Drosophila melanogaster: one gene and its partner. The protein of the gene in region 2 purifies or fractionates together with the protein of the main gene of each other region. This does not show direct contact. Each region holds a gene or a part of one and is shown on either strand. Other genes may lie near its edges. The genes, in order: Snap29 and Syx16.

Region 1 (3,935 bases), on a different chromosome or scaffold from region 2:
ACGTGACCGGTGCGAGTGATCCGCTTGTAAATGTTTTCGTCGATCTCGCTCATCAGCGCACGCAGTTCGTCGAATGAATATGTCCACGGTGAACGTAGCTCCTCGCCGTCCACGTCCAGCGCATCCTCGTAGTCGCTGTCGCTGTCGCTGTCGAGACCCAGATCCCTGGCATGGTTCTGCTGCGAATTGTCGACCTCGAACTCAACGCCCTTTTTCACGAGATCCCTGCAGAATGAGTTGCACGTGGTCATGAGTGCCTTTAATATGTATCTTATTACTCACGAATAGGACAAGGGATTCTTGAGCAACTGTGGGGTGTACGGTTCGAAGTTTTCTTCCATTATCGCAAAATTTACAGAATATTTACGAAACGAATTCCGGAATGCGCTGAGTTGGCGCTATTCTTTTGGATGCGTTTGAGAAAAGAGCTTTCCAGCGATGGTATCAACTGGAATTCGATTGCTTGATAGCTTTAGCGAATCGATTGGTCGCTGTTGTCCGGAAGTTATCGAATTCAAACAAAGAACTATATATCTTTATTAGGGCGCGAGCACTGCAACTCGAGATATCTTCCGAAAATGTATAATGTATTCCAATCCAGACGGGGAAACACTAGGCCAGATATACTTGCTTTTTATATGAATCTTTATTTAAAACTGAACACTTATCGCTCTCCAACTACGAGCACTCCATTGAGAGAATTGTTTTGGTGTGTGTAACAATAAAAAACTAGGAAACATAATGAGGAATGCATTCTTAATGGCCTTGTGAAGTGCTCACCGTGCGATATGGTATGGCTAAGATTTGTATATTAAGGGAGGGCTATTCTAAGCAATGATCAATACAATAGTATGCGAATGCTCGCTTGTTCACTTCTTCAGAAGCTTGCTCATGTCCTTGTTCTGCTTGTGAATCTTCAAGTCGACATCCTCAATTTTGTAGTTCATGTTATCCAGCAATTCATTTTGCGACTCAATTTCGCCACCCAGATCGGTGGCCAGCATCTTCAGCACCGACAGGTTGCTGCACATCTCCTCCAGATTGGAATCGATCTGGGCCTGGAAGGGATTGGCCGCCTGTCGCTGGGGCTGGTAGGTGCTGCTGGGATCACCACGCAGCTGGCTAACCGGATGATTGTCGTAGCGCTCCGCTGGTGATAGCGGAGCCGAGGGGCTAGCACCGCCACAGGCACCCTGGTTAATGTTGCTATTGGCCTCCTGGGAGGACTGACTGCCCGTGGGCGAACCAGTCGCGGTGGGTGGTTGGTCCCTGTTGCCCGAAAGGTAGTTCTTGAGGCCGCCGAAGACACTCTTCAGACCAGTCAGATGGCGCTGGCTGAAGCGCAGCGTGGAGCTGATCTCGTCCAACTGATGTGATGTCTTCTCCAGTTGCTCCCGCTGCTTGGCCAGCTCCACGGCCGTCGCCTTACCCACCTCCTGGGTTTCGTAGAGCAGACCTGGGGGTTGTAGGAGAGAGACGCATCAATAACGCCCCTTAATTGGCTGGCAATTGACCCCATGTTTACCCAAGCTTTTGTTGGTAGAGTCCAGAGTTCGCTGCTCAATGGCCCTTCGCTTCTCAGCATAGGCCAGTCGCTGTGCGGCCACTGATGGCGACGAGGTTATCTCCTCTTCGTCATCGTCATCCATCTCGAAGGGATTGGTGCTCCTCTGCTGCGGAAGCTTGGCTGCTCCCGTCCGTTTGTTCTGCAGGAATAGGTCGTCGTCCACGTCCTCGAATCTGTCCACGTCATCGAAGTGATCGTGCACTGGCTGCAGGTAGTTATGGGCCATTTCTTGTGGCGAGGGAAACTTCCAAAATGTCGAATTTTGTTATGTTTTCGTAAACTTTTATTTTCTTTGTTGTTGTCTGGAGTTATCGATTGCAATAGCGATGGTACAAATGTAGTATTTGTATGCAGTTCAATCGACTTATAAATAGCTTGACATTGCAGAGGCTTCAATAAAATAAGTTATTATAATTAAAATGATTTTGAAGATACGATAAAAATTGAATTTGTATGTAAGAAAACTTGAAGCTTGATCTAATAAATAAAAAATCGTGTAACGAGCGAATACCGACCGAATCCCCCTACCGATGATCTAGCGGGGAATAAAGCGGCTTGCCATCTCCGATGGATATCGAACCAGCACTTCTGTCAATTTTCCAGCAGGCGTCGCAGTTTCTGTAACTTTTTGGAACTGACCAAGACGGAAGCTTTAGTTTAATTTAAGAAACTGTCGCAGCCGAACGTCACAGGTTTCAGGACACGAATCGGCGGAGCAAAGCACCAAAACATCACCACATGCATAGCACATCGTACTTTGTGGCCGCGACATGCGCGGCGCTGCTTCTGCTGGCGGCGACGGCGCAGTCGACGGCAGCAGCGCAGTCAGGACTGCAGCCAGGTGGCAAGTTAATCGAGTTGGACGAGGACAACTGGCACCTGATGCTCCAGGGCGAATGGATGATCGAGTTGTGAGTGCGAAAGGGTGGCTCTGAGTAGTCCCTACCCACATGAAACCCCGCTGCCCCTGACGTAACATAAAGGGGCGTGGTGCGCCGGCTTTCTCCAGCCGGCAAGCTGGTTCTTTCGTTCTCCGAAATACCAGACATTCCTTTGCGGCGACGATGACTCATCGGCAGCTGTGTTAAACATATGTTTCTCCCTCCATTCACAGCTTTGCTCCATGGTGCCCGGCCTGCAAGAACCTGGCTCCCACCTGGGAGCGGTTTGCCCGCGTGGCCAAGGATGTCCAGGTGCAGGTGGCCAAAATCGACGTGACAACCTCGCCCTCGCTGAGTGGACGCTTCTTTGTCACCGCCCTCCCCACCATCTACCAGTGAGCACCACATAGACCTTTTCAACCCATGAAATACACATCGTCGTAATCCACGTCAATCATTTCCAGCGTAAAAGATGGCGAGTTCCGGCAGTATCGTGGGGCCCGTGATGGCGACGCCCTCCTCTACTTCGTGAAGAAGCAGCAGTGGCAGAGCATCGAACCGCTGTCCGCCTGGAAGAAGCCCGACACCACCCACATGTCCGTGCTGTCCTACTTCTTCAAGCTTTCGCACACTCTGAAGGTACGTTCACCTAGCCCATTATCGCATCGGTTCACTGCATGAGACATAAGCGGAAGCTTATCAGCGGGTTGATCCCGTTGACCCACAAAAGATTGCCGCCCATCACTCATTACTCTGGTCTTTGCTCTCTGCTGTTGTCTTGTATGTTGGGTTCATGTACTAATAGCATACGCAAAAACTCTTTAAGGACTTCAACGGGCGCCTGCAGGAGGAATACGGACTGCCCACGTGGGGCTCCTACGCCCTCTTCGCCATCGCCACCATCTTCGTGGGCGCTGCCCTGGGGCTGCTGCTCGTGTGCCTTGTGGACTTTGTCTACCCACCCAAGAAGTCGCAGCGCCAGAGCTTCTCCGAGTCCCAGGACAATCTGACCGAGGGCCTGGAGGATTTGGCAACCGAGGAGATCGAGGATGATGGCGACGCCGAGGAGAACGATGACGAGCAACGCGATAGCGACGAGGAAGAACAGGAGGACGACGACGAAGAGGAAGAGGACAGCGAGGAGCAGGTGGGCGATCTGGCCACTAAAGAGAAGGAGGCCGACAGCGAGCCGGAAAAGGAAGAGAAGCCGGAGCCCAAGCAGGCCGGCGATGCTGCGCCCGAGAAGACGGAACAGGTGCGCAAGCGCAAGCCTCGCAAAGGCGATTAGGTGCAGCGGGGTCCCTGCGGATCTTCAGCCTTAGCGATCATCAGAAGCGGCAACAAAAAGACTAACACACTGAATCGAGAGGAACACAACCTCTTACCCAAGCATCATTCGAGCGGACATAATCCGTCTGCTCTGCCTTCGCGCACAAAACCGATTGTTTTCCCTCCTTCTAATCCTAGCCAGAAAACGGCGCCCCATG
Region 2 (3,808 bases):
GCTGGCAGCAGGAGCACTTGAGCTGCTGAGCGCCGCAGTAGTGCTTGCCATCGTCGCCCAGGTAGGATAGTTGTCCGCGGGCATTTAGGAGCGGCGCGGTAGGCGACGAGACCAGCTCGCAGTCCTGGATCAGATGGTTCCACAGTACGGCGCCGTCGGCGGCGTTGCGCAGGGAGGCGATGAGATCGGCGCGCAGCCACTTGGCGTCCAGAAAGGGCAGCGGGCGCAGGTAGAGATCGGGCGAATGGCTGGGCGGTGCTGCTGATCCGGAACCTGATCCCGATCCAGATCCTGCTGCGGAGCCTGCTCCTGCCGCTGCTCCACTGGCACCTCCACCCCCTCCTACTCCAACTCCAGCGGAGACTGGTGCTGCAGAAGCGGTCTGGCTGGACCCAGCACCCTGGCCACTGGATCCGGCTCCTCCGCTCGCCTGGCGGTTGAACATGTTTGTGTTTTCGTGTTGCCTTCCCTAGTGCTCCACCGCCGAAGTCAGGCTAGAAACGAGCTCGACCACAACCACAACAACGACAATGGCATGGCACAGTTACCCCTTCAAGGGGGGTGTGGTGGTGGGTTGGAGCGCGGGTGGGGGCGGGGGCGAAGGCGGGTCAATGTCGTCACTGGCACACACACTAAGCACACGCACACGCGCGCAAGCACACACACAACTGCAATCGGGCGTCCAGGATCAGGATAATTCGTTGTTATCCTTGTCCGCACTGCTCATTTCGTTGTTCCGCTCGGAGTTAGTTATGACATCCTGACTTTTCCACCCGCACTTGAACTCTCCGTTTTCCGCGCTTGCTGCTTTCGGGTCACAATTGGAAGTGCCAGTTACCAGTACAATGCAATTTGAAATCAAGGAATTATTTTAAAATGAAATAAAATTGTTTGATGGCAATCGATATCAGGGGGAGGTGCAAACTGACTGAGCTATCAAGTAATCGATATCAGGGGGTCGAGCCATCGATATGTTTTGCCTTTCGATAGCTCTTCAGTGTTCTTAAGTCACAGGCTTGTGTCACGGATTAAAACCCAGTACAGTGGAAGCTGGCTATTAGAAAACGTTAAGCCAAACTCATAATGAGTTCCCTAAAATTCTGTAAATTTGTAATTTTTAAACATTAGCCTAAAATGTACTTGATTCTAAAATCATTTACAATATCATTCGGTTATATTACTCTTTCGTAACGCAAAAAAAGAGAACGCACATAACAAATTATTGAATACTTTTATTGTACTATTACGGTCGTTTTATTGCTAAAAGTATTGCATTTCAATTTACGTGACGGTGTGTACAGAATTAACTTTATAAATTGTTGAAACTCAACAAAGCAATACTATATTCTGTAATTTCCGAATATTTCTATTGGAGCTATCCAATCCGTATATTGAAAAAATCACTTTCGCAAATAGGATGTTTAGGAGTATACATATAAAGTACAGATTCTACAGATAATAAGAAAATAATATTTAAAATAAGTATAATTCTCGGACATGTAACGGTGCGTTCAGGCCAGGGTGACCAGTTCGTCGTGGCGACTATCGGTATTCTGGGCGAGCAAGTCAGCGGGCACACTGCGCTGCTGTGTCAAAACGAAACTGGAAAAAATCTGATTGAGTTTTCAGCGGACTTGGATCAATCCTTCCAATCCCCAAGAAATCGGGAGCAGACGGCCAGGATGACGTCGCGCAACCTGACGGAGGTGTTCGTCATCATGCGCAACAATGCGTCCAAGAACCGGAATCACTACGACGATCGGGTGAGTGCGTCTCCGTCTGGGGTCTTCACTGTTATCATCAACTAACATATGTTTTGCGTTTCTCCGTCTTCCAGAGGGGCAGCGATGCGGAGCGCCTTCTAAAGCACTCGGTGCGCGAGGCGGAGGAGGGACTGGAGCTGCAGGACGACTACGGCACGCCGCCCGCCTGGCTGGACAAGTTCGAGGAGGCGCAGTACACCATGTCTAAGTGGGTAAACAAACAGTAGTCCATGCGCAGGGTTCAACTTCACTCCCATCACTCGTTTGCAGGATCAAGCCTAAGCTGGATGAACTGGGCTCCCTGCACGCACGCCACCTCCTGCGACCCGCCTTCGATGATCAGCGGGACGACGAGTGCGACATCGAGGTGCTCAGCCAAATCGTCTCCAAGCTGATCACCTCCACGCACCGGCACATCCAGTGCGTGCGCAGCAGCATCGGCGTGGGCAGCAAGATGGAGCAGTGCCTGACGGTCAACGCGGTACACTGCGCCCTGCTCCAGCTGCAGGAGCTGACGGTGAAGTTCCGTGCCAGCCAGAATGCCTACCTGCTTCAGCTGAACTCCCGCGAGGAGCGCTCGCAGAAGTACTTCGACGACGGCGGCGGCGCTGGCGCTGGAGACGTCTTCACAAACGTGGAGCTGGGCGAGCAGAGCGCCGAGAACTTCGTCGACTCCTTCGACAACTTTCTGCAGCCGCCGGCGGAGGGCAAGTCCGGCAACGGCTATCTGTTCGAGGACGACGAGCAGGCCATCGACGATCACTTCCAAAGGCCGCCGGCCAGCCGGATGACCCAACAGCAGCTGCTGCTCTTCGAGGAGGAGAACACGCGGGTGGCGCAGCACCGCGAGCAGGAGGTGACCAAGATAGTCAAGTCCATCTACGACCTGAACGACATCTTCAAGGACCTGGGCCACATGGTCCAGGAGCAGGGCACTGTGCTCGACCGCATCGACTACAACGTGGAGCAGACGCAGACGCGCGTCTCGGAGGGATTGCGCCAGCTGCACAAGGCGGAAATGTATCAGCGCAAGAACCGCAAGATGTGCGTCATTCTCGTCCTGGCGGCGGTCACATTCTTCATGCTGCTGCTGCTCATCCTGACCAAGCTCTAGTTGCCCACGCGCCTCCAGTGGGCCGACCTCATTCCCGTCATTCGCTGTGTGTGTTTGTGTATATTGTAAATGTTTGAATACATGTTATTATATTTATTATTTATTGCTAATGCTAAAAAAAAAACCGCAACTACTCCCTCTCAAGTCGAACTCCACTCCAGTCCAGTCCACTCCAGTCCGCTCTCCCAATCACATGCGCTCCGAGAGGCGCGAGGCGACTGCCCGCAGGTTGCCATACACCTTGCTGGGCGGCGAGCCGAGGATTAGGTTGCAGACGGCCCGGCGCGCAAGCTGAATGTTCTGGTAGCTGCCCAGGATGTGGATCTTGCTATCGGCTAGCACGATGCGGGTCTTGGTCACGTTCTCGATGGTGAATTTGGTGCGGCCGCCCTTGCCGGCGAGGCGGCCGATGGCGCGAGACTGGTGGTCGCCGCGCAGCGTCTTCACGTCCTTGATTTCGAACGACTCGACGAACAGGTCCTCCAGACGCAGCAGGGCCAGGGCGTCGTCCACCTCGAAGCCGCAGAGAAAGGCGCGCACGAAGTCGGCGCCGCGCTGCAGGTTGGCTATGTCCGGCGTCTCGGGGCCCACACGCAGCTCCACCTGGCGCGCCTTCATGTTGAAGCGGATCTGCAGCTTCATGTGCTCCACCACGGGCGTAAAGATCTTCATCCAGTGCTCCTTGAGCGAGGAGTACCTGTGTGGCGGCACGGATACCTTGCGCAGCTCGCTTCTGGCCCGCTTTGCCTTGGGCGGCGCCGATGCTCGCGAAGATCCCAGCACCTGGCCCTCAATGCCGGTCGCCTCGTCCACCTGCATCTCCACGTCCTGCTGCCCGCCTCCGCTGGCTCCGCGCTTCGTCGCTCTCTTCGCCGGCTCGAATGCGTCTGCTCTGATGTTCTCTGCCTCCATGGTGCAATCTGTTGTGCTT

What was found.
Region 1: the proteins of Syx16 (region 2) and Snap29 purify together in Drosophila melanogaster (affinity purification with western blotting; 2 studies listed by BioGRID, with this or other methods). This does not show direct contact.

What each region holds. Positions count from the first base shown.
Region 1 is NT_033778.4:23,842,854-23,846,788, forward strand, and holds Snap29 (Synaptosomal-associated protein 29kDa), read right to left. Parts: upstream 1,911-3,935; 5' UTR 1,794-1,910; coding exon 1,526-1,793; intron 1,457-1,525; coding exon 870-1,456; 3' UTR 630-869; downstream 1-629. Other genes in the region: shu (shutdown), read right to left, coding at 1-225, 283-341; CG5554 (uncharacterized protein), read left to right, coding at 2,306-2,478, 2,682-2,843, 2,913-3,087, 3,254-3,736.
Region 2 is NC_004354.4:20,391,517-20,395,324, reverse strand, and holds Syx16 (syntaxin 16), read left to right. Parts: upstream 1-1,573; 5' UTR 1,574-1,682; coding exon 1,683-1,763; intron 1,764-1,837; coding exon 1,838-1,971; intron 1,972-2,033; coding exon 2,034-2,877; 3' UTR 2,878-2,991; downstream 2,992-3,808. Other genes in the region: HERC2 (HECT and RLD domain containing protein 2), read right to left, coding at 1-445; l(1)G0004 (lethal (1) G0004), read right to left, coding at 3,067-3,789.